4 linked regions of the Lepisosteus oculatus genome follow. The protein of the gene in region 1 interacts with the protein of each later gene in a pairwise test. Links are inferred from orthologs where the notes say so. Each region holds a gene or a part of one and is shown in the gene's direction. Other genes may lie near its edges.

Region 1 (8,001 bases):
ACACTGTCTCACTGCGCTACAGTCTCTCTGTCTCACTGATATACAGTCTCTCCGTCTCACTGCTCCACACTGTCTCCCTGCTCTACAGTCTCTCCGTCTCACTGCTCCACACTGTCTCCCTGCTCTACAGTCTCTCCATCTCTCTGCTCCACACTGTCTCCCTGCTCTACAGTCTCCCTGTCTCACTGCGCTACTGTCTCCACTGTCTCACTGCTCTCCACTGTCTCACTGCGCTAGACTGTCTCACTGCGCTACACTGTCTCCCTGTCTCACTGCTCTCCACTGTCTCACTGTGCTGTTGCCATGTGCTATGTGTCTGCTGCCTCTTGATTCATTTTAATGTTTATTTTCTCTTTTACTTACAGATACAAACCTGATGGCTCTGACAGGGAAGGTTCTGATGACCTCAGATCTTGCAAGGCGCTATAATATTCGGGATGTTGATGGTATGAGTAGGATTATCAGTAAGACACAGAAGACTAGTGTCGTTTCTCTCAGTGTGTCTGTATCATTAACGTCTCTCTCTCTCTCTCTCTGTGTTTCTCAGGGCGCAGTGTGTTTGACAACATGTCCGTCAGTTTTCTCGTCTCCCAAGTGCCCTACCTCTCCTGGCTGTCCTCTTTCATCCCTTCTTTCCTGCGTCTTCCCAAGTTTGTTCTCACTCTGCTCCACGGACGGTTCTGACCCAGTAACCCCACTGATCCTACACAGTGATCCCCTGTCCATCGGCACAATGACCTCTGACCCTCACACTGACCCCCTGTCCATCAGCACGATGACCTCTGACCCTCACACTGACCCCCTGTCCATCAGTACGATGACCTCTGACCCCCACACTGACCCCCTGTCCATCAGTACGATGACTCTGCCTGTCCTGTCTGCCCAACACCAGGTCAGCTACCCCACACACACACCCCGCTGACCTCTGACCTTCACACTGACCCCCTGTCCATCAGTACGATGACTCTGCCTGTCCTGTCTGTCCAACACCAGGTCAGCTACCCCACACACACACCCTGCTGACCTCTGACCTTCACACTGAACCCCTGTCCATCAGTACGATGACTCTGCCTGTCCTATCTGTCCAACACCAGGTCAGCTACCCCACACACACCCTGCTGACCTCTGACCTTCACACTGAACCCCTGTCCATCAGTACGATGACTCTGCCTGTCCTATCTGTCCAACACCAGGTCAGCTACCCCACACACACCCCACTGACCTCTGACCTTCACACTGAACCCCTGTCCATCAGTACGATGACTCTGCCTGTCCTGTCTGTCCAACACCAGGTCAGCTACCCCACACACACACCCCGCTGACCTCTGACCTTCACACTGAACCCCTGTCCATCAGTACGATGACTCTGCCTGTCCTGTCTGTCCAACACCAGGTCAGCTACCCCACACACACCCTGCTGACCTCTGACCCTCACACTGACCCCCTGTCCATCAGTATGATGACTCTGCCTGTCCTGTCTGTCCAACACCAGGTCAGCTACCCCACACACACACCCCGCTGACCTCTGACCTTCACACTGAACCCCTGTCCATCAGTACGATGACTCTGCCTGTCCTGTCTGTCCAACACCAGGTCAGCTACCCCACACACACACCCCGCTAACCTCTGACCTTCACACTGAACCCCTGTCCATCAGTACGATGACTCTGCCTGTCCTATCTGTCCAACACCAGGTCAGCTACCCCACACACACACCCCGCTGACCTCTGACCTTCACACTGAACCCCTGTCCATCAGTACGATGACTCTGCCTGTCCTGTCTGTCCAACACCAGGTCAGCTCACCCTGAAGGCTTCCAGTGACTAATAAACAGCATTTTATTTGTCATTAATCCAGCATTGTTCTAAACGTAATGTATTATACTTTGCATTAAAGAAGCTGAAGTAAAGTGTGCTGTACTGCACTAGTTTTACACTCTAAATGTGCGAGTGGTGTTTTTTACAGTTTTATTAAGTGTTACACGGTAATCACAGTAGGAGCTTTGCATTTCTTTCCTTAAGAGGATAACGGTGAAATTGATCATGAAAAACAGGTACAGTGACGGCCACATCAGAGTTCTGTCGGGTTTTAAAGTGTCAATATAATAGTGCTCTAAGAGCTTTGATCTGTGGAGCTGCTCTGAACTATACTAGTGCTTTCAGTGTCTTCTCCACAGTCCTTTCAAACACTCCAGCTCATCTTTCAGGATGAATGTGAACTTCTCTGAGGAGTTCAGCTGATGTGTGGTGAGCGCTCTGGCGCACTATGGTTGCCGTCGGATCATCCAGGTGGGGCTGCACACTGGGGGGGTGGAGGGGATCCCCATTAGCCTGTAAAGCGCTATGAGTGGAGTGTCCAGAAAAGCGCTATATAAGTGTAAGCAATTATTATCATTATAATTATCAATAACAGCTCCCAGAGACCCAGGGAGGAGTGTTCATCACACACGCACACACCCCATCGAAATCAGCTTTCTGTCCAGCGTCAGGACAGGCTGCGATGAGCCCCTCTCTCTGCGATGAGGGAGCCCGACAGGCAGGAGTCCTGAGACGCACACGAGAGGATGGGCATCTGTCTGCGAAAGATACACATCTTGAACTTGAACACAGGGAGAGCTCCTGAACGCAGACAAGAGGTCCTGGCCACAGACGAGAGCTCCTGAACGCAGACAAGAGGTCCTGGAAACAGGTGAGAGCTCCTGAACGCAGACAAGAGGTTCTGGAAACAGGTGAGAGCTCCTGGCCACAGAACAGGAGGAGCTCTTGAACACAGATGAGAGAGCTCTTGTGGACACAGGGGGTTCCACACAGAAGGTACCTGAAGGAACCTCAGACCCGCAGACACCACGCAGACTCCACACAGAAGGTCCCTGGAGGAACCTCAGACCCGCAGACACCACGCAGACTCCACACAGAAGACACCTGGAGGAACCTCAGACCCGCAGACACCACGCAGACTCCACACAGAAGACACCTGGAGGAACCTCAGACCTGCAGACACCACGCAGACTCCACACAGAAGACACCTGGAGGAACCTCAGACCTGCAGACACCACGCAGACTCCACACAGAAGACACCTGAAACCTCAGACCCACAGACACCACGCAGACTCCACACAGAAGGTCCCTGGAGGAACCTCAGACCCGCAGACACCACGCAGACTCCACACAGAAGACACCTGAAACCTCAGACCCACAGACACCACGCAGACTCCACACAGAAGACACCTGGAGGAACCTCAGACCCACAGACACCACGCAGACTCCACACAGAAGGTCCCTGGAGGAACCTCAGACCCGCAGACACCACGCAGACTCCACACAGAAGACACCTGAAACCTCAGACCCGCAGACACCACGCAGACTCCACACAGAAGACACCTGGAGGAACCTCAGACCTGCAGACACCACGCAGACTCCACACAGAAGACACCTGAAACCTCAGACCCACAGACACCACGCAGACTCCACACAGAAGACACCTGAAACCTCAGACCCACAGACACCACGCAGACTCCACACAGAAGACACCTGGAGGAACCTCAGACCTGCAGACACCACGCAGACTCCACACAGAAGACACCTGGAGGAACCTCAGACCCGCAGACACCACGCAGACTCCACACAGAAGACACCTGAAACCTCAGACCTGCAGACACCACGCAGACTCCACACAGAAGACACCTGAAACCTCAGACCTGCAGACACCACGCAGACTCCACACAGAAGGTCCCTGGAGGAACCTCAGACCTGCAGACACCACGCAGACTCCACACAGAAGACACCTGAAACCTCAGACCCACAGACACCACGCAGACTCCACACAGAAGGTCCCTGGAGGAACCTCAGACCCACAGACACCACGCAGACTCCACACAGAAGGTCCCTGGAGGAACCTCAGACCCGCAGACACCACGCAGACTCCACACAGAAGACACCTGGAGGAACCTCAGACCTGCAGACACCACGCAGACTCCACACAGAAGACACCTGGAGGAACCTCAGACCTGCAGACACCACGCAGACTCCACACAGAAGACACCTGAAACCTCAGACCTGCAGACACCACGCAGACTCCACACAGAAGACACCTGAAACCTCAGACCCACAGACACCACGCAGACTCCACACAGAAGGTCCCTGGAGGAACCTCAGACCCACAGACACCACGCAGACTCCACACAGAAGGTACCTGGAGGAACCTCAGACCCACAGACTCCACACAGAAGGTACCTGGTGGTGGAGGGATCCCCATTACCTGTAAAGCGCTTTGAGTGGAGTGTCCGGAAAAGCGCTATATAAGTGTAAGCAATTATTATTATTATTATTAAACCTCACGGCGATTCCACACAAAGGGGACCCTGATCTAGACTCGAGCCGGTGGAGCTGAGGGGGTGGAGGCGATAACCGCCCCCTCCTGGCTAAATACGAAAGACCCAGCGCGTTTACACTGCCGTGCCCGCTCGGAATCGGACCTCTCCGGAGTCACACTCCCTCCCGCTCAGAAACAGCAGAGTAAACTCCGGCCCCCGGCGCTTCATGACCTGGCTTGACTGCACTTCCCAGCTCCAACAGGAGAATTCCGCGGCCGGTGTACAAGGAGGTCGGCGATAAACAGTTAACAGCCTAAATGAAACCAAAATAAACGTACCCCATCCGTAACCGGCAGAAATATGCGCTTTAATATACGAGACGGATGTGTGTATATGCGTTGGTTGCATATTTCACGTTGAGTGTCGTTGTGTACGGTGACGCCCGAGACAAACTGCCGCCCTTGTGGGTGGACAATAAAGCTATATCTTTCCTTCTCTCTTTAAAACCAAAACCTCTTCCAGGAATACCTTCATAAGATGGCGGCCCTCACAGCGCAACCCCCCCCCCTCCCATCACCTTCTGCAACTGCCCTATTCGCTCTACGTTACCTGGAGCACGTACTCCCATCGTTACCCCGCCCCCTGACCCCGCTCGCTCCGCCCCCTTTCTCCCAACTAGTCGGTGCGAGCGGAGTCCCGGCTGCCCCGCGCCGCTACGCCTTTAATGGCAAGCGGGCCCCGCCCCCCGCCGTCACCCCGGGAGACCGAGGCCTAGCTGCCCGAGTTTCCTGCTCCCGCCCGGCCTCGCGTAGCGGCTCAGAACAAAAACACGGCGAGCAGGAGAGAGAGGGACGCAGCGAGCGCCCGGCCGAAAACACGACCCCCCCTCCCCCCCTCGGCAGAAACACGACAACGAGAACGCAGGCGGCCTCCGCCTGCTTTGGAGTTTAAACTCGGGACTTTTATTTAACTTTTTTTTTCTTCTTTAAGAAAAAACACGCCAGCAGTCCGGAGCGGAGGGGGGCGGAGAGACGGACACGCACGCAGACGGTCTCCGGTGTTTGGAAGAGCAGCGGAGCGACACCAGCCGCTGTCCGGCCCCCGCAGACCCCGCACCGCCCGGCGGAGACGCGGCTTCTCCTCGGCGGGGCTCCGGCGGAGGGGAGACGGCCGGGAGAGCCGGAGACGCCGCGACCTCAGCCTCCCCGTGAGTCCGGCTCCGCCGCCTCGCTGCCCCGCTGTCCGCGCACACGGCGCCGGGACAATAGTGAGCCCCGCCGGGGTGGCTGGGGTGCCTGTTGTCGTTGTTGTTGTTTTGGGGGTGCTGCGCCGTGATGGCGATGTGATGGCGTGTCTGTGTGGCCGCGGGGGGAGCGGGCTTGCAGGGGCTGTACAGACGGGGCCTCTCGCTGACCTGCCCCCCCCCCCGTAGGACCCCCGGGCCAGTCCGGGCTGGGGGGGCTGGGGGCGCCCCGGGGGTGGCCGTGGCGAGTGCGAGCGAGGCTGCGGGACGGAGCCGAGTGTATGTGTGTGTGTGAGATGGTGGCCCGATGACCGTGTGTCCACCTCCCCCCGCCCCCGTGTCCGGAGCAGGGGCTGTCCGCCCCGGTGCCCACCCGGCCGTGGAACTCTCTCGCGGGGTGAATCGTCTTCCGGGGGCCCAGCGGAAACAGCTGCTTCTGCTGGGGGGGGTGTTTGTGTCCGTGAGCTGTGCGTGGGAGGGGATTCCGTGACTGCTTTCGCCCGCGGCCGTGCTCCGCTAGCGTGACTTTGAGGCGGTATCCTTCTGATAACCTGCGTCAGAGGGAGAACAAACATGTTGTTTTTGGAGGGGTACGGGTCTACGGCTTGTTGGTGAGGTGGACGAAGAGATCGGCCGATCAGAAAGTTACCAGTTAGTCGTTCCGAGGGTCTCAGACAGCTGTGTCCAGTTCAACAACATGGCTGGGCAGCTTGTCCCCCACCCCCCTCTGTGTAAAGAAGAGCCTCCTGTCCTGACTGGAGGGTCTCACCCAGCTGTGTCTGGAGAGAAGCCAGGGTATCGGCTTCAACAACAGGGCTGGGCAGCTTGTTCCCCACCCCCACCACCCTCTGTGTAAAGAGGAGCCTCCTGTCCTGACTGGAGGGTCTCACCCAGCTGTGTCTGGAGAGAAGCCAGGGTATCGGCTTCAACAACAGGGCTGGGCAGCTTGTTCTCCACCCCCACCACTGTCTGTGTAAAGAAGAGCCTCCTCTCATCTTCCTTATTAATAATTGGCTTCGTGGACCAGTATAGCAGCTCCTCAGGTGATGCTGTTGTTGCTTTCAGGAGACCTACAAGTCCTGCAGGCACAGCACCCACAATTTGTTGAAACATTATCATACGTACCCTCTCGACCACTGACACAGCTCTGATCATAATCTCAGTTAATAACTAATCCCTTACTGCAACTTGTATCGGTCTTGCTTTCGGGGTTACTGCGTGTCTTCATGTTTAATACTGCTGTGTTTACTTTGTATTAATAACGCCAGTGTCAGTGTGTCTGTATGAACCCCTCTCTCTCAGTGCAGTGTTAATGTACTGGAGTGTCCAGTCAGTCAGTGTGTCTGTATGAACCCCTCTCTCTCAGTGCAGTGTTAATGTACTGGAGTGTCCAGTCAGTCAGTGTGTCTGTATGAACCCCTCTCTCTCAGTGCAGTGTTAATGTACTGGAGTGTCCAGTCAGTCAGTGTGTCTGTATGAACCCCTCTCTCTCAGTGCAGTGTTAATGTACTGGAGTGTCCAGTCAGTCAGTGTGTCTGTATGAACCCCTCTCTCTCAGTGCAGTGTTAATGTACTGGAGTGTCCAGTCAGTCAGTGTGTCTGTATGAACCCCTCTCTCTCAGTGCAGTGTTAATGTACTGGAGTGTCCAGTCAGTCAGTGTGTCTGTATGAACCCCTCTCTCTCAGTGCAGTGTTAATGTACTGGAGTGTCCAGTCAGTCAGGGTGTCTGTATGAACCCCTCTCTCTCAGTGCAGTGTTAATGTACTGGAGTGTCCAGTCAGTCAGTGTGTCTGTATGAACCCCTCTCTCTCAGTGCAGTGTTAATGTACTGGAGTGTCCAGTCAGTCAGTGTGTCTGTATGAACCCCTCTCTCTCAGTGCAGTGTTAATGTACTGGAGTGTCCAGTTAGTGTGTCTGTATTAACCCCTCTCTCTCAGTGCAGTGTTAATGTACTGAAGTGTCCAGTTAGTGTGTCTGTATTAACCCCTCTCTCTCAGTGCAGTGTTAATGTACTGAAGTGTCCAGTCAGTGTGTCTGTATGAACCCCTCTCTCTCAGTGCAGTGTTAATGTACTGGAGTGTCCAGTCAGTCAGTGTGTCTGTATTAACCCCTCTCTCTCAGTGCAGTGTTAATGTACTGGAGTGTCCAGTCAGTCAGTGTGTCTGTGTTAACCCCTCTCTCTCAGTGCAGTGTTAATGTACTGGAGTGTCCAGTCAGTCAGTGTGTCTGTATGAACCCCTCTCTCTCAGTGCAGTGTTAATGTACTGTAGTGTCCAGTCAGTGACTATAGGAAACCATAACGGCCTTTTTGTCATCACTTAACAGAACATCCCATTGCGAGGGGGGGAGTTTGTTTGCTGAGCACAGTGCCTCCTTGTTGTTGGACAGAGAAGACCAGAAGAGAACAAGACATCTTTTCCCCCCTCCCTTCTCCCCATCCCTTCG
Region 2 (7,965 bases), on another chromosome or scaffold:
CACACACACACTCACACTCACACCCAGAGCACAGCGCTCACTCCCACACACACACACCCAGAGCACAGCGCTCACTCCCACACACACACTCCCACCCAGAGCACAGCGCTCACTCCCACACACACACTCACACTCACACCCAGAGCACAGCGCTCACTCCCACACACACACTCACACCCAGAGCACAGCGCTCACTCCCACACACACACACCCAGAGCACAGCGCTCACTCCCACACACACACTCCCACCCAGAGCACAGCGCTCACTCCCACACACACCCTCACACCCAGAGCACAGCACTCACTCCCACACACACACACACTCACACCCAGAGCACAGCGCTCACTCCCACACACACTCCCACCCAGAGCACAGCGCTCACTCCCACACACACACACACTCACACCCAGAGCACAGCGCTCACTCCCACACACACACTCACACCCAGAGCACAGCGCTCAATGTGAGATACACACACCGGAGCCTGTATTTGGATTTGATGATGACAGTGATGTGTTTGAGCTGGACAGGGTGTCTGCTCCAGCTGCCTGTTCCTCTCTCTCCCTCTGTCCTGTGCCTCAGGTCCAGGTGAGTCCCCTGTGACTCTGTCCGGCTGTGTCAGTGCAGACAGAGCTCTCATTCCACGACCAGCCAGCCCCCGACCGAGTCAACAGGCCAGAACAAGCTGCACAGCTCACCTCTCTCTCGGCTGCTTTCTGTCTTCTCTTCTTCTCCCTTTCTGGCTGGGTGTGCTGCTCTCTGTTCCCTCTGTCATGCGTCTCTCTCTCCCTCTGTCCCTGTCCCTGTGTCTGTCTGTCCTTGGCAGCGTGAGACCGAAGCTGTTTTGAGGGGAATGGAATGTCCCCCCCCAGTTCCAAATACAGACACCCCCACTCCTAAAATATCCTCCAGCCCAGTCAGCTGACATCCCCTTAGGTGGGACAGAGCCAGAAAGGCAATTAACCCTTGAGGCCCTGAAACAGACAGTTGTGCTTGTTCAGCTGTGTTTTTGTCCAGCTCTGACGGGGCAGCGCAGGACTGGACACGCCGCCCAGACGCACACGGCCTGCCCCCTGACCAGCACAAGAAGGAGGGTGCAGGATGCTGGCGTTCCCGAACTATTACTGGGCACTTTCAGAGGTGAGGAGACACCGTTCCTTTCCTCTAGGCTGAGGTTTTCCAGCGCTGGAGAGAGATCACATCAACTCCACAGCCATCTTCCCCCCCCTTGAGAAACACAGTAGCTCCCAGTCTCAGCACTCAGGGGGACCTGTTCAATCATGTAAAAACAGTGCAAAAGAAATTCACGCAGTGGACTTTGATTGGGGAGCAGGACGGTGCCACAGCACTGAGGCCCTGGGTTCGATTCTGGACGTCGGGTGTCTGTGTGGAGTTTGCATGTTCTCCTCATGTTCTCTATTCACATCGGTTTCCTCCCACAGTCCAGAGTCATGCTGGTGTGTGTGTGTCCTACGATGGACAGGGTGTCCCGGCTGGACCCTGCTTTGTGTGATTAAAGAATCAAAAGGCAAAACATACAATAGAAATATGTAAAAAGCATTATTTTCAGCTTTCATAATAATAATAATAATAATAATTGCTTACACTTATATAGCGCTTTTCTGGACACTCCACTCAAAGCGCTTTACAGGTAATGGGGATCCCCTCCACCACCACCAATGGTAAATGGTAAATAATGGTAAATTCCTCGGTCTGTGAAGTTTGCCTATTTCTGTATTTCTCATTTTTTGTATTTCTGCTGTTTAAATAAAAACTTAAAAATTAAAGCTAAACAGAATCTCTTCCTATTGGTTTTGATGACGTTTACAAGCCATTTCCGCTCCCAGGTATCCCACAATGCACCTTTCGTTCCTGAACACCATAGAATTACTGTTTACCCTGGAAATGTAACAAGCGTCAGTCATTTTGCTTCAGCCCCACTAGCCAAAGGATATTTGTAACAGTTACGTACTAAATAATTGTGAGGTATAAAAAAGCAATTTACGTTGTTGTTAATCGTTGTTTATCTCATCGTTAAAACTGGAAAGTTGGTGAGGTACTGAGTGACCGCAGTAAAATGGTGTAACAGTCAGCGCATTTAAGGTCATGTGATAAATAGAATTGGCCTATCTAGTACTTTCTGGGATAGTCATGCCCTCCCCCCACACGCCATGTCATCTGTGGGCATGGATGAAGCCATGCGGCAGTGAGGGCAACTCCGTTGCGTCGTCGGCAGGGCACAGCTAAGCACGTTCCGGGTGAGGGTGCCAGCAGTAAAGATGGCGGAGGACTTGCTGGAAACGGTGGACAGGCTGCAGTCCAGGCTGTCGGACAACCAGGAACCCAGAAAGGTAAAGACCTGGGCTACCGAAGAAGGCATGGGTGCTAGCGGGGACAGGGTAGGCGGACAGCATTGCATCGCCCTCTCAGCTGGACAGTGTAGCGTCGATTGTCTGTCTTTTTTCTAGATCACGTCACGGTTTATAGTAATAAAGCGACGGTCTGTGGAGCGCAGGTCGTGTCTGCGGTATCGGGCAGGACGGGTACTAGCTCTGCACGGCGCTCGGCTGCAGAGTCCGGCCGGCAGCACTCGCCGGAAATCTGGACACGGGATCGACCTGTCCGTCAGTGTCCGGCCGGGAGCGAGCGCTTGTCCGGGGGGGGGGCGGTTGTGCTCGCTCTGCTCTCCAGCGCACTACCACGGTGACCCAATCCGTGCCGTAAACACAGACTCCACGCACAAGTCCCCGACCGTCTCCCCCTCCCCCCCGACGTGGGCAAACTGAGTGACAATAACAACATAATTTCCGTTTCGTCCATGACGTCACGAGGTGGTAGACGACGACAGCGCGCGCGGACGTACCTGATGCGTGCGCGAGCTGCGCGGCCTCCAGCTGCTGCACAACGCCAAGCACAAACAGGAGCAGTCCTGAGCCGGGTGCAGCGCAGTGCTTGCGCAGGCAGGCCTGATTTACCCACAGACCTACCACACGCAATCATGTAGAGGTTCTGTTTTTCGTCGGCTGCGATGGCAGAGAGGTTAAGGCGTTGGCCTCGAAATCCAACAGGGTCTAACCACGCAGGTTCGAACCCTGAGCCAGCAGCCATGTCATCCTGCAGCTCACAGCTGGCAGCCCATTGAAGCTCAGCAGGTGTGAGTATCTGGATGGGAGACCTCCTGGGAAAAACTAAGGCTGCTGCTGGAAGAGGTGTTAGTGGGGCCAGTAGGGGGTGCTCACCCTGCAGTCTGTGTGTGTCCTAATGCCCCAGTATAGTGACGGGGACACTGTACTGTAAACAGGCGCCGTCCTTCGGATGAGACGTAAAACTGAGGTCCTGACTCTCTGTGGTCATTAAAAATCCCAGGGCGTCTCTTGAGATGAGTAGGGGTGTAACCCCGGTGTCTTGGCCACATTTCCCATTGGCCCTTACCAATCATGGCCTCCTAATAATCCCCATCTCTGAACTGGCTTCATCAATCTATCAGTCAATCAATGAAGGTTTATTGATCGATGGACGAACAGTACAGCACAGAGCGGTGTTGTCGGCAGTGAAATGCTTTGTCCGCGAGCTCGTTAAGAGGGACAGGAGAGTAGAAGAACAGGAATTTATAGGGATTAGATTAACATTAGAATACAATAAATGACACAATTGCAATTTACAATACAATCACAGATTGTGCGAAAGTAGCACAGGGATAGGAGGTATTTAGCGCTCTTGGTATGTGTCCTGAGAGTGACAGGAGGGCCTGTTCGCCAGCGGCCGTTGGGGTAACTGCAGGCGTCTGCTGTGGTTGGCTGCTTAGGAGTCTTACTGCTGAAGAAGCTGTTCCGACACTTGGTGGTCTTGGTCCGGACACTTCGGTACCGGTGCCCAGATGGTAGCAGAGAGAGCAAGTTGTGGTGAGAGTGACTGGGGTCCCTGGGGACAGTCCTGGCCTTCTTGAGGCGTCTAACAGAGGAGTTACCCCGATGTTCCGTAGCGCAGTTGGTGGCGTTTGGCGCCGGTTTCACCCCCCTCTGGAGGACCCTGAGCTCTCGGGCGGAGCAGTTACCACACCAGGCAGGGGTGCAGCCGGGTAGGATGCTCTCAGTGGTGCAGCTGTAGAAGCTGGTCAGGATGTGAGACGGATTAACTTCTTTAATCTGCGGACAGAGAAAGCTGCCGTGCTGTCTTGGCTACGAGGTTGGTGTGGTGGGTCCAGGTTAGATCGTCTGTGATGTTGACACCTGGGAATATGAGACTGTTGACTCTCTCCACTGCGGACCTGCTGATGTGAATGGGTGTGTGGTCTGTTCCTCGGACAAAACTACCATCAGCTGCTTAGTTTTGCTGGTGTTGAGAGAAAGGTTGTCCTGACTTCATGCCTCCTCCCTGTACGCGGACTCATCACTGTTCGGGATCAAGCCGATGATCGTTGTAATAATAATAATAATAATATATTATTGCTTACACTAATATAGCGCTTTTCTGGACACTCCACTCAAAGCACTTTACAGGTAATGGGGATCCCCCCCACCACCACCAGCGTGCAGCCCCACCTGGATGATGCGACAACAGCCATAGTGCGCCAGAACGCTCACCACACACCAGCTCTCAGTGGGGAGGAGAGCAGAGTAATGAAGCCAGTTCAGAGATGGGGATTATTAGGAGGCCATGAGTGGTAAGGGCCAATGGGAAATTTGGCCAGGACACCGGGGTTACCCCCCTACTCTTTTCTAGAAACGCCCTGGGATTTTTAATGACCACAGAGAGTCAGGACCTCGGTTTTACATCTCATCTGAAGGACAGCACCTGTTTACAGTATAGTGTCCCGTCACTATACTGGGGCATTAGGACCCACACAGACCGCAGGGTGAGCACCCCCTGCTGGCCCCACTAACACCTCTTCCAGCAGCAACCTTAGTTTTTCCCAAGAGGTCTCCCATCCAGGTACTGACCAGGCTCACACCTGCTGAGCTTCAGAGGGCTGCCAGTTGTGAGCTGCAGGGTGATATGGCTGCTTGATATGGTTGTATCATCCGCGAACTTAATGATGGAGTCTGTTTTGTTCCTGGCGACGCAGTCGTGGGTGAAGAGGGAGTAGAGGTGAGGGCTGAATAAGCAGCCCTGGGGAAGGTTGCCGGTTCGAATCCCGCGGCCGGCAGAGGAATTCTACTCTGTTGAGCCCCTGAGCAAGGCCCTTAACCCCAACTGCTCCAGGGGCGCCGTATAAATGGCTGACCCTACGCTCTGACCCCCAGCTTCTCTCCCTGTCTGTGTGTCTCATGGAGAGCAAGCTGGGGTATGAGAAAAGACAGATTCCTCATACAAGAAATTAAAGTGATCTTTCTGATTTGGGTATGTGCGAACAGTGATCCTTGGGACAACATCTTCTGTACATTTGCTGATGTAGCCAGTAGCGTAGTCTGCGTACAGATTAATGTAGTTCCCTGCAGCTTCACAAAAAATCTGCCAGTCAGGGGTGGCAAAGCAGTGGCTTAGAACAGGGTCCGATTCCTCCGACCGGCGCTGGGTGGTCCCTGTCACAGGCTTCTCCTGCTGGAGTTTCTGCCTACAGGCAGGGAGTAGCAGGATGGAGGTGTGATCGGATTTGCCGAAAGGAGGTTGGGGGAGGGCTTTGTAGCCATCCTGGAGGGGAGTGTAAACACTGTCCAACGTGTTTGTTTTGCGCGTCGGGCAGTCGATGTGCTGATGCAGGTTAGGCTTGAGTTTCTTCTGATCCCCCGCTGTGACGGATGAGTCCTCGGGGTGAGTTCTCATGTCTGCCTAGGTGTTGGTGTAGCTCCTCCAGGGCTCTGCGGCGCAGTACACACCGCCGTGAGGACCAGTGTACACTGGTGTACATAGAAGGGGCGACATTTAATTGTCAGGTGTTCAGGATGTGGGGGCGTGACGATGAACTGGTCTGTGCACCAGGAGTTATTCCTCCACCCTGATCTTCCCCGAGTCCGTTGTCCTGTCCTGACGGAGCACGGAAAACCCTCTCGGATCGACAGCGGTGTCCAGAGGGGCTGCAGCCCGTGCAGCTTGTTGTCCAGGGATCGAACTTGCTCGGAAGCGCAGGGCGATTCCAGTGTTGTCTCAGTCTTACCAAGACCCCGACCCGCCTACCTCTCTTCCTGCACCGTTGCCCTCGGGAACAGGTGCGCTTGAAACTGTAGGCCAGGTAATCCATTGCCATATTGGGTGCAGACCTCGCTGAGCCGACAGTTGATCTTATGTCCATTAGCGTTTGTCGGTCATAGCTGATCATCGAGCAAGCATTGTGTACAGCTAACAGTGTAAAAGACAGCATAAAGAGAGGAAAAGACAAAAACGGACGGGAGACATCTTACACGCTGTCCTCTCTCGCTCTCCTCCCCACTGAGAGCTGGTGTGCGGGGAGCGGACTGGCGCATCATCCAGGTGGGGCTGCACACTGCTGGTGCTGGAGGGGATCCCCACGACCTGTAAGGAGCTTTGAGCGCTGTGTGCAGATAAGCGCTATATTAGTGTAAGGAATTTTCACTATGTGCTGAGTGTAAATAAAGACATTTATATGTGAAGCCTGGGCAGTGTCCCAGCCTCTGCTCTGAGTTAATCAAACCCCAGTTTTTATGAATCGATCAGTTATATCTGCGCTGGGCCCAGACCGGCCCGCCTGGGCCCGCTGGGTCTGGACCGGCCGCCTGGGCCCCCGCTGGGTCTGGACCGGCCCGCCTGGGCCCGCTGAGTCCTGATGTTGTTTGTTTTCTCTGTGTCTATGCAGCTGCTCAAGACTCTGAAGAGACTGGGAGAGCTCCCCATCACTGTGGACATCCTGGTGGTGAGAGACTCACTGCGGGCCGCACTCTTCCTCCCTTGTAGTGGACCGTACTCTTCCTCCCTCACCGTGGACAGTACTCTTCCTCCCTCACTGCAGACAGTACTCTTCCTCCCTCACTGTGGACAGTATTTTTCTTCCCTCACCGTGGACAGTACTCTTCCTCCCTCACTGTGGACCGTATTCTTCCTCTTACCTTCTCCCTCTCTGCCTGCAGGAGACAGGGGTGGGCAAGGCAGTGAACTCCCTGAGGAAGCATGAGCATGTGGGGGAGACGGCCAAGAGCCTGGTGGCCAAGTGGAAGAAGCTGGTGCCTCAGGCGGTGGACAGGTGCGTACTGGGAATGCTGGAGAACTGGGAGGGGGGAGCAGAGTGAATTGGGCTGGAGAGTGAGTCTGTAGTGGAGTCTGTTCTGACAGCTCAGCTCCAGGTGTGTCTGAGCTCCAGCCTCTCTCTCTGTGCAGCTGAGCTCCAGGTGTGTCTGAGCTCCAGCCTCTCTCTGTGCAGCGGAGCTCCAGGTGTGTCTGAGCTCCAGCCTCTCTCTCTGTGCAGCGGAGCTCCAGGTGTGTCTGAGCTCCAGCCTCTCTCTCTGTGCAGCGGAGCTCCAGGTGTGTCTGAGCTCCAGCCTCTCTCTCTCTGTGCAGCGGAGCTCCAGGTGTGTCTGAGCTCCAGCCTCTCTCTCTGTGCAGCGGAGCTCCAGGTGTGTCTGAGCTCCAGCCTCTCTCTCTCTGTGCAGCGGAGCTCCAGGTGTGTCTGAGCTCCAGCCTCTCTCTGTGCAGCGGAGCTCCAGGTGTGTCTGAGCTCCAGCCTCTCTCTCTGTGCAGCGGAGCTCCAGGTGTGTCTGAGCTCCAGCCTCTCTCTCTGTGCAGTGGAGCTCCAGGTGTGTCTGAGCTCCAGCCTCTCTCTCTCTGTGCAGCGGAGCTCCAGGTGTGTCTGAGCTCCAGCCTCTCTCTCTGTGCAGCGGAGCTCCAGGTGTGTCTGAGCTCCAGCCTCTCTCTCTGTGCAGCGGAGCTCCAGGTGTGTCTGAGCTCCAGCCTCTCTCTCTGTGCAGCTGAGCTCCAGGTGTGTCTGAGCTCCAGCCTCTCTCTCTGTGCAGCTGAGCTCCAGGTGTGTCTGAGCTCCAGCCTCTCTCTCTGTGCAGCGGAGCTCCAGGTGTGTC
Region 3 (7,769 bases), on another chromosome or scaffold:
ACTGCTGGAGCAGTACTGTCAGACCTGGGCGCTGACAGCCCATCTGGACCCCGAACAGCAGAGCCTGGCACTGCTGGAGTAGTGCTGTCAGACCTGGGCACTGCCAGCCCATCTGGACCCAGAACAGGGTCAGCAACAGAGCCTGGCACTGCTGGAGCAGGACTGTCAGACCTGGGCGCTGACAGCCCATCTGGACAAGACCAGAGTCATGGTTTTCCAGAAGAAAACCAGATCTCAGGGAAACAGGTACCACTTCACACTCAACAACACATTGAAGCACACATCCAGCTACACATACATATTGGTCTGACTATCAGCTCATCTGTGAGTTTTCACCTAGCTACACAATAAGAAGGAGGCTTTTCAACATCAACCCATCAACAAGAATCTGGCTCCAAATATTTGAAAGTGTAATCCAACCCATTGCCCTATACGGCAGTGAAGTGTGGGGTCCCCTCACAGACCAGGATTACACTCAATGGGACAAACACCCCACAGAAACTCTGCAAATGGGATCTGTAGAAACATCCTCCGTGTGCAGAGAAAAACTCCTAACAACGGGTGCAGGGCCGAATTAGGCCAGTACCCACTATTGATAAACATACAGAAAAGAGTATTAAAGTATTGGCTACACCTAAAAACAGCAACCAAAACCTCTACCACCACGAAGCCCTGCTGAGCCCAAAACAGAGCCCCCTGAGCCAGCTGGTCCTGAGGCTCACTGACCTGAGCCACACCAACACTAACCAGCCTCAGGACAGCACTGCTAGAGCACCACAACTCAGACACAAGCACATCACAGCACAGATCAAACAGCAATATCTCACACACTGGGACACACACACACACAAACACAACATCAACTGGAATGCTACAGAACCCTAGACAGACAACAGACACTAGCTGAATATTTGATCAAGATAAGAAACAGCAAAAAGAAACAGACCCTGACGAAATACAGGCTGAGTGACCACAGCCTGGCCATAGAAACTGGGCGACACAGGCAGACCTGGCTGCCCAGAGAGGACAGGCTGTGCTCCCACTGTAGAGACAGGTGCACTTCCTACTGCACTGTGACAGATACTCTGGGATTAGAGAAACATTCTTCTCTAAATTCAGAAATCTAATCCGAGAGTTCCCACACCTCCCAGAATCACAACAGCTCCCAAACCTACTGGGAGAGGGAAGAGGGAACTCAGTTGAACTGGCAGCCCAGTATGTGATCTCCTGTCACAGCCTGAGGAACAGACAGTGAGCCTGTCTCTCAATAATAATAATAATAATAATAATAATAATAATAATAATACAGTGTGTGATCTCCTGTCACAGCCTGAGGAACAGACAGTAAGCCTGTCTCTCAATAATAATAATACAGTGTGTGATCTCCTGTCCCAGCCTGAGGAACAGACAGTGAGCCTGTCTCTCAATAATAATAATACAGTGTGTGATCTCCTGTCCCAGCCTGAGGAACAGACAGTGAGCCTGTCTCTCAATAATAATAATACAGTGTGTGATCTCCTGTCACAGCCTGAGGAATAGTGAGCCTGTCTCTCAATAATAATAATACAGTGTGTGATCTCCTGTCCCAGCCTGAGGAACAGACAGTGAGCCTGTCTCTCAATAATAATAATACAGTGTGTGATCTCCTGTCCCAGCCTGAGGAACAGACAGTGAGCCTGTCTCTCAATAATAATAATACAGTGTGTGATCTCCTGTCCCAGCCTGAGGAACAGACAGTGAGCCTGTCTCTCAATAATAATAATACAGTGTGTGATCTCCTGTCACAGCCTGAGGAATAGTGAGCCTGTCTCTCAATAATAATAATACAGTGTGTGATCTCCTGTCCCAGCCTGAGGAACAGACAGTGAGCCTGTCTCTCAATAATAATAATTCAGTGTGTGATCTCCTGTCCCAGCCTGAGGAACAGTCAGCCTGTCTCTCAATAATAATAATACAGTGTGTGATCTCCTGTCCCAGCCTGAGGAACAGACAGTGAGCCCGTCTCTCAATAATAATAATACAGTGTGTGATCTCCTGTCACAGCCTGAGGAATAGTGAGCCTGTCTCTCTATAATAATAATACAGTGTGTGATCTCCTGTCCCAGCCTGAGGAATAGTGAGCCTGTCTCTCAATAATTCTCCATATGTTTATATGTACATGCACTATGATGTGTCTGTATTGTAAATGTCTGTAGATGTTTTGTCAATTGTATATGCTTTGTCATGCCGATAAAGCTGTTTGAATTGAATGGTGGAGAGAGAGATAGGAGTGACAGTGGGAGGAGAGAGGTCAGTGGGGGTGTAAGTGTGAGTGGGCACCTTCTCCTTCTCTGTACTTCAGTGTTTCTGTTCTGTCTCCCTGACGTGACGCTGCCTCTCTCTGCAGGCCCTCTGGACACGGACATGCAGACGCAGGCTCGCAGCCTCACTGGGGACGCGCAGGTCCGACAGTCCTTTTCCGACATGCACAGCAAGGGGGGGCTGTTGTCCTGTTCCCAGTCCGGTGCCAAGCTGGCGCAGCTGCTGCTCGAGGACCAGTACCAGTCTGGGGCACAAATCGACTATTACGACATCTAGACCCCCCCGCCACAGCACACAGCTACGCCAGCTGGACCATCGTACTGTCCTGTATTTAGACTGGAGCCACACTACACTACCGACCTGTAACCTACCAGTGCACTGACCTGTAAGTGGACCACCCCACTGACCTGCAGCTGGACCACAGCCACCCCACTGACCTGTAACTGGACCACAGCCACCCCACTGACCTGCAGCTGGACCACCCCACTGACCTGTAAGTGGACCACCCCACTGACCTGCAGCTGGACCACAGCCACCCCACTGACCTGCAGCTGGACCACAGCCACCCCACTGACCTGTAACTGGACCACCCCACTGACCTGTAACTGGACCACAGCCACCCCACTGACCTGTAACTGGACCACAGCAACTCTACTGAAACAGTGATACAGCTGACTCGCTGCTGGACAGAACACTGAATACGTCTGGTCGTCATTCCAGTTTGAAGAAGTACAGATCACATTCCTCAACTGTCTGTTTGTGCAAACCTGGACTCTCGGAGCCTGTGAGCGCAGAGCAGTGAAGTGGGCTCCTGTCTCTCCTGTCTCGTCTCCCACCCTGTGTCCTGCGCCTTATTTTCCCGCTTCTGTAACCCCTCTGCAGTGACCTGGTTGATTTTGGTTGTGTGCTGTGCTTTTTCCTGAGTGGTGAGAAGCTCAGTGAGTGGACTTCTTATCGGCCGGACAGGACGGCTTCAGAAGCACACGTTCACGAGAGAAGAGACCAATCTTTCATGCTTTACTGAGGCCTCTGTATTACAGCTGATGGCTCTGACTGTGCCTCTCTGTGGGGTGCTGGGTGTAGGGTGCCCTAGGAGAGAGAAGGCAGCCCCAAAGATACTGCAATTCTGTCCAAAGGAATTGTTCACAGCAATGAGATGCGCAGTGTGCACACCTTCTACTGTTTAATGATTTCTTATGCTCTGGGCCCTGCCAGTGTTTCAGCACACAACCAGCGTACAGTGAGGGATGCCGCAGAGAGCTGTGTCCCTCTCGTCCTCGTGTGTCAGGTGGTGGCTGGGCTGTGGCGCCCCCTTGTGGGGTGGGACAGGGCAGGGGGAGGGGCTCTGGTCCCAGTCTGCGTTCAGAAGTTTGTGCAGTGCCTTAAGAACGTGTGTTCTGTTATTGTTGATGATATTGTTATTAATGTATCAGTGATGTCTGAAAATCTGGGCACAGTACCCTTGTCTCAGTTGTGAGTGTTCTGGTGTACGGGAGAGTATTTTGTCATAAATAAAATCCATTGAAGAAGTTGTTTGCGGTGTTGTTGTGGAAGAAGATCCATCGGGATCATCCCTGCGTTGTGCCTGCGGATGGGCTGGGAACTCCTGCCTCCTGATCCCTGCGCCCGGCCCTGTCCCTCCTCAGGATCAGGGTGCAGAAGCACTACGGACCAGGGGTGACGTGACTGAGCCTGGCCAGCGTGTGGAGGGGTGGACAGTGGGGTGAATGCGCTGTGTACGTCCTGCAGGAGTGTGGGGTGTGGGGTCACACTGACACTGCCCGGGGACGCTGCTGTGGCGCTCTGAGAGGTTCAGAAAAGGTTCAGAAACTGCTCGCGGTAAAAAAAATCCTGGTACGTTCGGTATAGTGTGAGCCTTCAGTCTTGAAGAACAGCAGAGTCTCCGAGAGACTCCAGGCTTCCCGGCGCGGGCTGTTGTGACTGTGCGCTGTGTGTCGGGTTTCCTCCTGGTCTCTGAGGAGCAGCAGCTGTGAGCTCACAGGGAGCTCGAGAGGAGCTGTGTCTCCAGGGGCTGTTCCTGCGAAGGCCGGTTCTGGGGATCTGATGGGACCTGGGTCTGCCTGTCCGCCCTGCCCTCCTTTCCCAAGACCCTGCTGTCCTTCGGGGCTGGGCTGAGCCCTCTCTCCCCTCTCCCTGCTGTCACACTGTGATGGGACTGGTCAGTGAGACCAGCCAGAGCTGGGGGTGGCGGGGGGTGGGGGAGGGCAGCGGAGGGCAGCTCTTTGTTCTGGAGGTTTCTGGAAATGGGCTCAGGCCGCCACTCTGGTAAAAGGTTGCTGGTGGCCACACAGCCCACGCTCTCCCAGCTGCCCCGGGTGACAGGCAGGCACTTCTGGCTGCTAAAAATACACTGGGACGGCCCAATTTCTCCCAAACAAGGGGAAGCTGAAACACACCACAGCCCTGCAGGGCCTGGTCCCGCGGCAGTTGGCCGTGTCTCCCCCCGAGAGAGAGCTCCCTGGGGGAGTGAGTGCAGAGGCGGCCGCGGTCCTGCGCGGGTGTGAGCTGTGCTCAGGGCTCGCTTTGCGGGCAGGACGACCCCCCCCGCGCCCGGGAGCTGCAGCGCTTGGGGGCCGAGTCTATTTCGGGCCCTGCTGGGGGAGTGGCCAGAGAAGGTGTTGAAAGCCCGAGTCAGGGAGGGAGCAGGCAGGACATTCCTCTCGGCCAGTGTGAGCAGCGACCCCGGAGAGCATGGAGAGCGTCGAGGTGTTCCAGTCGGAGGGCAAGGGCCGCGGGCTGAGGGCCACCCGGGAGCTCTGGGCCGGAGACGTGCTGTTCGCGGAGCCCAGCTTCGCCGCCGTGGTGTTCGACAGGTAGGCCCGGTCCTGGCCGGGGCGGGTCCGTGCGGAGCGTGCTGGACAGCACCAGAGAGGCGCAGGCAGCTCGTCGGTGTGGAGCGCGTGAGGACACGCTGACCGGCGGCCAGGCGGGGTTCAGGGCGGGAGCTGAGGGCTGTGCACAGCTGCCAGTGGGCGTGCAGTGACTGTCATGGACTGCCGAGCTGCTGCGTGTTCAGAATCACAGCGCTGCCGCCGGGGGCTTCTGTGTGTCTAGCTGCTCAGTGTTAAGAACGTAAAAATGGTATGTCCATCTAGTCATCTAGTTGTCATCCAGTAAGTGAAAGAAGCCAGGGTATCGGCTCCACCCACAAGCCTGGGCAGCTTGTTCCCAGCTGTCACAGCCCTGTGTGGGGGGACGAGCCCCCTGTCCTCACTGGGGTGTCTCATCCAGCTGTTCCGGGAAAGAAGCCAGGGTATCTGTTCATACGCCCACAACCATGTTAGGGTGCTGGTGTGTTCAGTAGTTCACTTTTAGAGTGCTCCGCTGCAGTGTCTTCAGGTGCCGAGTGTCAGTGTGTTTGGCTGCAGTGTGTTCAGTATCTCAGTGTCAGTGTGCTGGGCTGCAGTGTGTTCAGTATCTCAGTGTCAGTGTGCTGGGTTGCAGTGGTTTCAGTAGTTCAGTGTCAGGTAATGGGCTGCAGTGTGTTCAGTAGCTCAGTGTCGGGGTGATGGGCTGTAGTGTGTTCAGTAGGGTCCTGAGTTTCCAGTGCAGGAAACAGCTAAAAGTCTAAACACCGAAGGCTGTAGATACAGTAAAGGGGTAGTGCTGTTGTGCAGTAAATGGAATTGTTATTATGCTTCAGAACCTAAGTCTCAAAGTTGTGTTGTGCTAACCGCAGCAGCGTTACCACCTTGTATTCTGTATTGTGATAAGATCTCAGGAGATAAGCAGTCTGGTCCAGGTCAGTACTGGGATGGGAGACCTCTAAGGAAAACCAGACTCTGAAAGGCTGTTGGTGGGCCAGTAGGAGGCGCTCTTCAGGATCTGTTCAGAATGTCCAAAGCAATCCCCCAGCACACCTACACTGTGCTGTAGGAGGCATCGCCCTTCAGATTGTCACACTCAAGCCCTGACTAGATATTCACTAGAGCTTGGGACACAGTGTTAACCCCAGTGTCCTGGAAAATTCCACCCTGCTTTTATCCAATCTGGACTCCCTCAATTCTTTTAACTTATTTTGCTTTTAAGAACTTTATTTCCTTTTCACAAAGAATTACAGAATAAACACAAACTTTACAATATTTTATGCCTATAATGGTATATACTGTACTGTATATACACATATTAAGAGAGCAGAATAAAATTAATAATTATTTAATAAAACATTCCTGGTTAGTTTTTAACAAGAAAATTACATTTTTGCTTTACTTTCTTCTCTATTAGTCTGAGAGAGCTTTAAAGTGAAATACCTGGATCTAGTTTTCTAGATACTGGTCTCCACAGATCTCTCAGCTGGATGAGCCAGACCATCTGCACCCCTGACTGAAACTTCTCCTAAATCACCTGGGGCTGCAGTTTCTCTCTCCTCCCCCTGATCCACTGTGCAGTGGGGCCGCTGGTGCAGAATGATCCCTGTGTGTCTCCCAGGTGGGGCTGCTGGTGCAGAATGATCCCTGTGTGTCTCCCAGGTGGGGCCGCTGGTGCAGAATGATCCCTGTGTGTCTCCCAGGTGGGGCTGCTGGTGCAGAATGATCCCTGTGTGTCTCCCAGGTGGGGCTGCTGGTGCAGAATGATCCCTGTGTGTCTCCCAGGTGGGGCTGCTGGTGCAGAATGATCCCTGTGTGTCTCCCAGGTGGGGCTGCTGGTGCAGAATGATCCCCGTGTGTCTCCCAGGTGGGGCTGCTGGTGCAGAATGATCCCTGTGTGTCTCCCAGGTGGGGCTGCTGGTGCAGAATGATCCCTGTGTGTCTCCCAGGTGGGGCTGCTGGTGCAGAATGATCCCCGTGTGTCTCCCAGGTGGGGCTGCTGGTGCAGAATGATCCCTGTGTGTCTCCCAGGTGGGGCTGCTGGTGCAGAATGATCCCTGTGTGTCTCCCAGGTGGGGCTGCTGGTGCAGAATGATCCCTGTGTGTCTCCCAGGTGGGGCTGCTGGTGCAGAATGATCCCCGTGTGTCTCCCAGGTGGGGCTGCTGGTGCAGAATGATCCCTGTGTGTCTCCCAGGTGGGGCTGCTGGTGCAGAATGATCCCTGTGTGTCTCCCAGGTGGGGTTGCATCAGTGGGGGATATGGTCCCCTTCTTTATGTGATGAGATTGGTGGAAATTTAGAATTCTTATAGTTAGAATTAGAATTATAGAATGATTTTATTGATTACTCTTAGTCAAATTAAAAATATCATCACATCAGCAGCAGTGCCTCTCTGTCCACCCTGTTTACAACCCCCCCCCCCCAGTCCACCCTACTGTTTTCCTGGAAAACTCACGCTGTGCTTCTATTTTCAACCCTCACCTCACAGACTGCCTACTATCACGAGTGCCATCGGCTTTGTCTGCAACACCCGGCACACCGGCCTGGACAGTGTCAGTGTGCACGTTGTCAGAACAAAACCGCAGACCCTTCTCAGTCATCTGCCATTGGACACAGAAAGGACCAGCTGATCACAGTATT
Region 4 (7,970 bases), on another chromosome or scaffold:
CGACACGGCGGCGCACGAGGGGGCTCTGTGGGACACAAGCGCTGCTCAGACCTTTGGTGCACAAAACGATGAGACCGAGCGCCACGTAGTGGAGCAGCACGCCCGGAGTCTGGGGTGCGACTCAGCTGGTACCAAAAGAAGAGGGCTGGTATAATTCTGGGGGCTGGTGATGAGGCACCTTTGCGTAGTACTGCACTGTCTCCTGACTGCATTCTGTGTGTGTACCTACAGTATAAATCTGTCCGCAGGTGTGGTTGTATATACTGTACAGCACAGTATACTGTACATGGGGGTCGCACTAGAGGCCTGAAATAACCTTCAAGTGTTGCATAAAGCTTTCAATTGTGTTTTGTAGAACAGTGTAGTGTATTGGTAATTCTTTTTTAAAAAAGCCTTATTTTACAGAAACTCCATTTATCCATTTAACTCAGGAGGGAGGGAACATTGCGTCTCTTTAAAAGCCCTTAATCCGACTTGTTCACAGGCCAGCGAAAATCTCACAATGGTTGTAATCCGAATGTAAAACTAGAAATTTTACTGAACACTATATACTGTGAAATTAAATGTAGAATTCAACATTTGTGCAAGTTGTTTTTATATAATTCTGCTCTTTCTGTGGGGATGGGTGGGAGTCCTATTAAAGGGATTACTTTGCTCAGTTTGGGCTGCAGAGGAATTCTGACAGCAGGGCTGCCACCTTCCAGGTTGATCTCTTCACATCTCCGAAAAGAAGCAGGGCTTGGTTAGGTCAGTACTGGAACAGGAGACTTCAGAGGAAAAACTGGCTGCTCCTCTAAAGATTGGAGGTGGACAACGGCGCACGCCTCAGATATATCATATCTGATATATTTCTGTCGATTTGAGGCGAGTTGGTGATTTTTCCCCCCTTGACCAGAACTTCCAAAGCAATGGCCCAGTATAGTGACCCAGGACCAGCTCCTGCTGACCTCTTGGTCATTGAAGATCCCAGGACTCTAGGAGTGTTAATCCCTAGTGCCCTGGCTACACTGCTCTCTTGGCTTGCCCACTCTTGCCTACCTAAAGTTTTCCCTCAACCCAACTGGTGAGGCAGTTTCTCCCTCTTACCCATGATGTGCTGCAGGGCAGCTGGTGCAGAACACCTTCCCTGGGTCACCTGCGTGTAAAACACTTATAAATGCAATTATTGATCATTATTTGTATTCCTCATAAAATTAATTAGAAATAAAAATCGAATGTAGAAAAAAACACGCAACAGCATGTCCTTCAGGTGGCCGGGTAAATCGGCTCCAATCTCAGCCTTTTTTTTTCATATGCGCTCAGTCCGGTGAAACAGAAAGTCTGACAGCAAGTGAGGTGAGATAGCAAGTCAGTGCCCTATTAGTATTAAGTCACTGCATCCGAAGCTACAGTAAATGTCGAGACCATACACGGGCCTACCAATGCTGACAATGTGAGGTCAATGAATTAAAAATAGTAAACAACTGAGCTGTGTGTATTGTTTTTACATGAACCACGCGAGCGATCTTAAGTCTGATATTTGTGAATACAATCTGTTTTTAAGACGTCTCACTACCCACTAAACGCCACCTCCACACATGTCATGGCGCATCGCAAGGTGGTGACCACAGAGGCAGTCATACTGTACATGTCAATATACAAAATACAAATACACAAAAACACCTTTCATGCACACGTCGGTAAATGCCTGTCCACTGCCCACAGACAGGAGATAAATGACAGCATAGTCATTTAGAGTGTCACAAGACAGTGCAATTTACAAATCAAAACGGAACCTGTTCTGCAAAGCATACGTTTTGTACACAGCACCATTGTTAGGGTCCCTCACTGACAGCAGAAGCAAAAAAAACCGTGATTTCGGGTAACTCAAGGAGACATTGTAAATACTGTTCTGCAAGCAATCGCGCACCGCTCAGGTAGGTTTTCCTATTGTCTTTTTAAAATAAAATAACTCGATATACAGAAGCGGTCCCTGTTCACATACCTTCTCCCCTTTCGTCAATTCGTTCGGATTCCTTAAGCCGAGCGGTCTCTATTCGCGTTGGAAGAGAGCATTGACTGTTCTTCCTCCGGACACGCCTGCTTCCTTGCGATTGGTAAATCTGACACATCTCCCTTATTCCTATTGGTCTATGTCACCTCAACTGCAGAGCGTGAATGACGCACCAATAATAAAGAGGAATATTTTTTTCCCGTTTAACAGATAGCTTCGATTGCTTTTCCTACATTAATTCCTAAAATGTATAAAACGAATACTATAATACCTCGAGGACTCACAAGGCCTTCTTATTGCGTAGGTATTGTACATAGTTTCCTGTCACTACTCTTTGCTTTATTGCGGTGGTTTTCCTGGCAGGTGCATTTACAACCGAGAACAGGAGGTACTGTTTTGCGCACAAAGAGCTGTGGGAGCATGTAGCAACCCTCGCATGCAACGTGTTGAAGCCAACGCCCTGGCTTCTTTCAAGAAACGTCTAGAAGATATCCCCAGAACATTCAGATACAGACAAAATGGGACAGCAGGGTAGAAAGATGGTTCCAAAAGTTTGTATGCTCTCCCCATGTTCACGTGGGTTTCTTTCGAGTGCTACGGTTTCCTTCCACAGTCCAAAGACAAGCGGATAGTTAACCGGCTTCTGGGAAATTTGCCCCCGGTGCCAGTGCGTGTGTGCGTGTCCTGTGATCGACTGCGCCAGTTGCTTGCTGATGATTCCCCACTACCCTCGATTGTATGAAGTGGTTAGAAAATGGAGGGATGGAAAAACAAATGAGCCAAGTGTCCCAATGGCCTCCTGTTTGTTCACTTTCTTGTGCTCTGCACAGCGGTGCCAGCTCGGGCTCCGGAGCTGTGGGGATACAGCAGATACTCCAGGAGGCGACAGGACCTGTGGGTGAAGTGACCCCCGGATAGGTGACAAGCAGTAGCCGTCCTGCCCCAGCAGCCCCACTGCACAGCAGACCGAGAGGAGGGGAGAGAAATCACTTCACCGGCTGAATTTCGGGTGAACGTCTGGTAGGTCAGACTGTACAAGCCCGGAGTGGCATTTAGCCAGGACACTGAAGTTAACATTCAGTGCCTGGGACCTGTAATGATGTAGTTGTAGGGACCTCAGTTTAATCTAACACATAATGAACAGTGGCAACTCTCTCTGCTCCCGGTCACCACACGGGGTTTGGAATTTCTATTGCAGAGGCGAGAGCACCACCTACTGGTTCACCAATGCCACTTAGAGCAGCTGTAACAAGTTTTCTTTAGAGGCCCAGCCCAGCCCTGCTTATCTAAGATCTGACCAGATCAGGCAGGCTGCAAAGTGGGTATTTGGTCAAGTAAAATTAAAGTCCAGTAGAAATAGTGTGTTTATAATTTCCAAGTGATCAACTTGGAAAAGCCTTTAGTACCTGCAGGAGTGTTTTATGTGGTGAAAGGAGCAGAGTGCAGAACAGTCTGTATTTCTGTATTTCCCATTCCTTTTACTATTAATACCTGCTCTTTTTAATGGTTGATTTCCGGTTCATTAAAAAATACTACACATGAACTGAGCAGTCAGTTGCACAAACTTTTTTTTATCATGTATCTCTTGACGAGAGCTTTCTTTTCAAACGGTTCCTGATAATTAGGGAAGTAACTTTGGCTATGCGGTTTCCACTGCTGGAGACACAAACTGAAATCCCTGAAATTATGAACAGTGTGACCTGTATTCCACATTTGGCAGAAAACTCCTTACAACGTCACATGGTGCAATGACTGAAAGTTTGACAAACTTAGAAGAAGTTGTATTTGCTAAAAATGTCTACATTTGCATTTAGTTGCATTTACTGAAATGCAAGCACTGCACATTGTAATAAGTGTGTCAGTAATAACCTTACTGCAGACACAGGCTGCCAGCGACAGTAGTTCTGCAAATGTGATATGCTGTATATGTGTATTATATTATACTTCTCTGTATATACTTCTCTAGGAAGCATTGTCATTCCACCCACCAGTTTCCAGTTGTGTGCTTCCCCACAGCTGAAAACCAACTGCCTTCCACCCTCTCCCCTGTCTACCTTCACAGCAATTCCTCAGAAGGTCATTCTATAGGATCATGAATCTGTCTGCAACAGCATTGTAGAAACGTGCCAATTCCCAATATAATTACAAACTCGTGTTTTTAATGTAGGCCATAATGGCACTAACTTGCTACTGACTAGCATGTAGTGATGATTTTAAATATTAGTATTCTTGCATAATATGGGTTTGAACATATGTCACTGTATACACAAGATGGAATGAACGTTCAGCATCAGTATGTGGGGCGTGCTTTCAGGACGACTGTGTAGCAGTGGTTAAAGTTCTGTACTGGTACTTGGAAGGTTGTGAGTTTGAATCCCAGATGAGAAACAGCTGTTGTACCCTTACACAACACACCTCACCCTAATCGCTCCAGTAGAATACTCAAGCTGTGTAATGAGTATGAATGTATTTCACTAAGTGATATTTCAGCAGAGCAGCACAGAACACAGAGTCCCTGTCCATGAGGGTCAGAGTCCCTCTGTGTTCGTTCTACAGGTTATGTTCAATTGTCATCTGCTTATGGCTTAAAAAAAAGTGATTTCATTTCTTTTCCAAACAATTAATTAAATTCAATTAATCAATGAACATCAGAACTGGAATAAGAACCAGAGGTCCCTGATGCTCTCCAGGGATCCAGCAGGAGTCTTTCAAACTGATGTACACAGTAGGTTCAGTAAAAAAAAACACTGACACAAAGTTCCACCTTTAAAGAGACATTCCTTGACAAATGAGCTGTTTTAAAGTGGCTCTTTCTGTAGGTGGTGATGACTTTTAAGTGGATCAGCAGTTTTCATGAGCGGGGAGCAGGAGGGTGCAGTGCAAGGTGCAGAAGACAGGGGGCGCTCTTGTTCTTCAGGGACACTGGTGAGGAGCTGGGCGGATATAGCTGCTGTTGATGCAGATCTTAACTGATTAGTGAGGGGAAAAAAAACAGACAAGAAAAAAAGAAAGTCATGCCGCAGCAGTAATGGAGCTACGAGGGGAGTTGCTGAAGTCCATCTGGTATGCTTTCACTGCTCTGGACGTGGAGAAGAGTGGCAAGGTCTCCAAATCACAGTTGAAGGTAAGTGTGGTCCGTTGTGCGTAGGTTTCTACTGCTGGTGGATGTTGCTGAAGAGAGACAAAGAAGAGACTCTGGCAGTGTCATGTTGTTCTGCAGGGACGATGTTCGGTGCTATGACTTCCGATGTGCTGTCGTCTCATGCAGTTTCACTCGCCACTGATGCCCTTCCAAGCATGGTTTTAAAAAGTCTTAAGTGAGTTGGCTGGAGTGGGAATCAGTCTGGTCCCTGGCGGGCTGAGATGGATTTATTTGAGGGGATTCGCTCTGCTGTGTTCAGTGTCGTGCATTTCCTGGTTCAGGTGACTGCTCTGCTCACAGTTTTCACCATCATTTGAAATCCTCTGTCTATATTCAGCAGGGCTCAGCCAGCATGGTCTGTGATGAAAGTTTTATCTGCGTGTGAAGCCCAGCATCAACCACGTTTGGTGCTCTCTCATTTTGTAAAGAACAAAATTACTTTCAAATTACATTCCAGGAACTGTACTTTATTTATTAGGGAAATTCCTTTAGTAACTGTGAGCTAATTCTAATAGTCCACAACCCTACCATGAAGACATATATATGAAGACCTATAGTGCTTTTAGTTAAAAACTAAAAATATTTGTGCTATTGTTGCCACCAGGCCTTATTTGACAACCTCTTGCTTTTAAGAACAAAAAAAAAACAATTGAAATAAATATTTGTCATAGCACAGAAATTTTCTTTTGTACGCAATTATGAGAGTGTGTGCCTTAAAAAGTGAAGACCAGAGATGAAGAGTGAGTTCATTTCTTGTCTCTTCATGAGGAAAATGAAGGAATTTTGCAAAGTCAAGCTGGTTAAGAAACATTTTGATTAAAACTGATTTCTTACTTCAGGAGTTTCCATATCCCGTGCGCTGTTGAAAGTTAACGCTTCACAGAATAAGACACAGGTAGATAGTTTCCTTCTGTAGTTTGAAAGGTGAAGACAATGAATGACCATGCAGATATATGTATGCCCTTATTAAGAAACCCATGAGCCTATGTTGCAGTATGCAAGAATTGATTATATCAATCATAACATTGGCTTCTGTCTTTTACTTTGGAGAGGGGGTGCACATTCCAGGTTCAGATCCTGACCGTGAGGAAGTTCAAGGCCCAGAACCAACTTGCTCCACAGACCTGTTCAAAAGAGGAAGTGACAATACTCTGTGGCTGAAAGACATTCATCCATCTTACGTTTTTCATCCGAATTTCGTACTGAGTCACTCAGTGAAGCACTGGCCCCGTGATGCAGTCAAGGAGCTCCTGGAATTCTGTTCAGAGAGGGGCTTTTGTTGATGGCTAATTTTATATTTGACATATTGTCACTTCCCCCTCTGGTACCAAAGTATTTCTGAGAGTATCCTGACCTGGACTGAGTCTGCCCCACACAGCCCTGTGAAAACTGAATTCATGCCACACCTGTGGGGAGATTGAAAGTACCAGGTCTGGCACAACCTGTGTTGTACATTTCAGACACTCCATGGAGCCTCAGGGGATGTGTTTCTCCATGTGAGAGTGAACACAAAACTATAAGAAATTTGGCAAACAAGGGGAGGCCATCCAACCCATTTAACACGTTTGGTTTCTAGCAGTTAATGACTCTGCAGATCTTATCCACCCATTTCTTGAAAGAAACCAGGGTATCACCCTAAATAACATGGATGTGTTGCTTGTTCCAGACACCCACAACCCTTGTTAACAGTGTGGATGGAGGTAGTGCAAGACAATGATTTGACAGTGAAAGTGACAGTGAAAACATGAGGTTTATTTTTGGGGGGGACAGGGGGTGGGTCAGCGCTGCCAAAGTCTGCAGGGTCTGTGGGAACATCGAGTAAGAATATTCCAAAAGCATACGTGTGTCTCAGAGGCATCATGATGACTGTGATTCCTGGTGCATAAAGTCAGCCAAGTGTATATTATCCCTCTCGCTGACTGTAACACTAGTCCAGCACTAGTTAACATTAAATTAAGATAGAGCACCTTGGCTCAAGGATGCCACAGCAGTGTCTGCCCCGAGGGACTGAGAAGGACCCTTGAGCAGTAGGCCAGGGGTCTCGGCGCCTGCAGGGGCGCCAGGACAGAGGGTGATTTTGACGTCTTCGTGGGCTTCTCTCACGTCCGTGTTCACCTGGTCTGCGGGCTGCGCTGACCTGCCTGTGTCCCTTGTCCCTTGGCAATCGGGGACTGAGAAGGGATTGGGTCCCATGACCGGGATAATCCCCCTCACGCGCAGGGGCTGTGCGGAGAGCAGCAGCGAGCTCAGGCTCGGCTCGGCACGGGCAGGCGGCATCAGTCTCGCCCTCCTTCTTCTGGCGAAAGGAGGTGGGGTAGGCAGGATGTGGTAGGAAACTTGAGATCTCCTGTTTGCAGACATGTAGAAATAAAGAGCTCACTTCTCATTTCTTTTTTTCTAGTTTGACATGCTGTTTCTCTCCTTCCATGTCATAACAAAAAACCTGCAAAACACAGTTTAAAAAAAAAAACAAATTCAAGAAAGTTGGGTCTGCACATCATATCTAGTTTTCATTTTTTAAAGAGGTTCGTTTTTTTTTGTTCCCTGTTCAAACAAGATCATCCGAAATACGCACGGAAGTTATGTTGGCTTTTCAGACCTAGAGTTCTCCACCTCCTGATCGTAACCAGAAATAAAAAAATAAAGTTGGTGACAGTTTTGCTAAACGTTTGGGATTCACTGTGTTTCTTTTCATTTAAAAGCTATTGCTTAAATTGTTTTACAATTAAAAATCAACATTTGTTGCTCTCTGTGGGTAACTTTGTGAATATGTAGTTTAGAACACTTTTCTGGTCTTATTTTGAAATCTCTTCATTGCATCTACATTAAATGTTC

The links.
Region 2: the proteins of homeza (region 1) and eloa interact in binary tests that used the Homo sapiens proteins (3 or more experiments, as listed by UniProt). The two-hybrid records come from large-scale screens. The link is inferred for Lepisosteus oculatus from reciprocal best matches to the Homo sapiens genes HOMEZ and ELOA.
Region 3: the proteins of homeza (region 1) and smyd1b interact in binary tests that used the Homo sapiens proteins (3 or more experiments, as listed by UniProt). The link is inferred for Lepisosteus oculatus from reciprocal best matches to the Homo sapiens genes HOMEZ and SMYD1.
Region 4: the proteins of homeza (region 1) and differentially expressed in FDCP 6 homolog interact in binary tests that used the Homo sapiens proteins (3 or more experiments, as listed by UniProt). The two-hybrid records come from large-scale screens. The link is inferred for Lepisosteus oculatus from reciprocal best matches to the Homo sapiens genes HOMEZ and DEF6.

What each region holds. Positions count from the first base shown.
Region 1 is NC_090699.1:13,251,315-13,259,315, forward strand, and holds the start of homeza (homeobox and leucine zipper encoding a), read left to right. Parts: upstream 1-5,000; 5' UTR 5,001-5,519; intron 5,520-7,881; 5' UTR 7,882-8,001. Other genes in the region: dhrs1 (dehydrogenase/reductase SDR family member 1), read left to right, coding at 366-446, 548-684. UniProt on the Homo sapiens protein: May function as a transcriptional regulator.
Region 2 is NC_090706.1:306,299-314,263, forward strand, and holds the start of eloa (elongin-A), read left to right. Parts: upstream 1-4,951; 5' UTR 4,952-5,899; coding exon 5,900-6,147; intron 6,148-6,374; coding exon 6,375-6,453; intron 6,454-6,752; coding exon 6,753-6,809; intron 6,810-7,023; coding exon 7,024-7,136; intron 7,137-7,965. UniProt on the Homo sapiens protein: SIII, also known as elongin, is a general transcription elongation factor that increases the RNA polymerase II transcription elongation past template-encoded arresting sites.
Region 3 is NC_090698.1:74,659,427-74,667,195, forward strand, and holds the start of smyd1b (histone-lysine N-methyltransferase Smyd1), read left to right. Parts: upstream 1-4,756; 5' UTR 4,757-5,013; coding exon 5,014-5,135; intron 5,136-7,769. Other genes in the region: sepiapterin reductase, read left to right, coding at 2,387-2,577. UniProt on the Homo sapiens protein: Methylates histone H3 at 'Lys-4' (H3K4me), seems able to perform both mono-, di-, and trimethylation. Acts as a transcriptional repressor. Essential for cardiomyocyte differentiation and cardiac morphogenesis.
Region 4 is NC_090700.1:37,020,938-37,028,907, forward strand, and holds the start of differentially expressed in FDCP 6 homolog, read left to right. Parts: upstream 1-4,961; 5' UTR 4,962-5,021; coding exon 5,022-5,117; intron 5,118-7,970.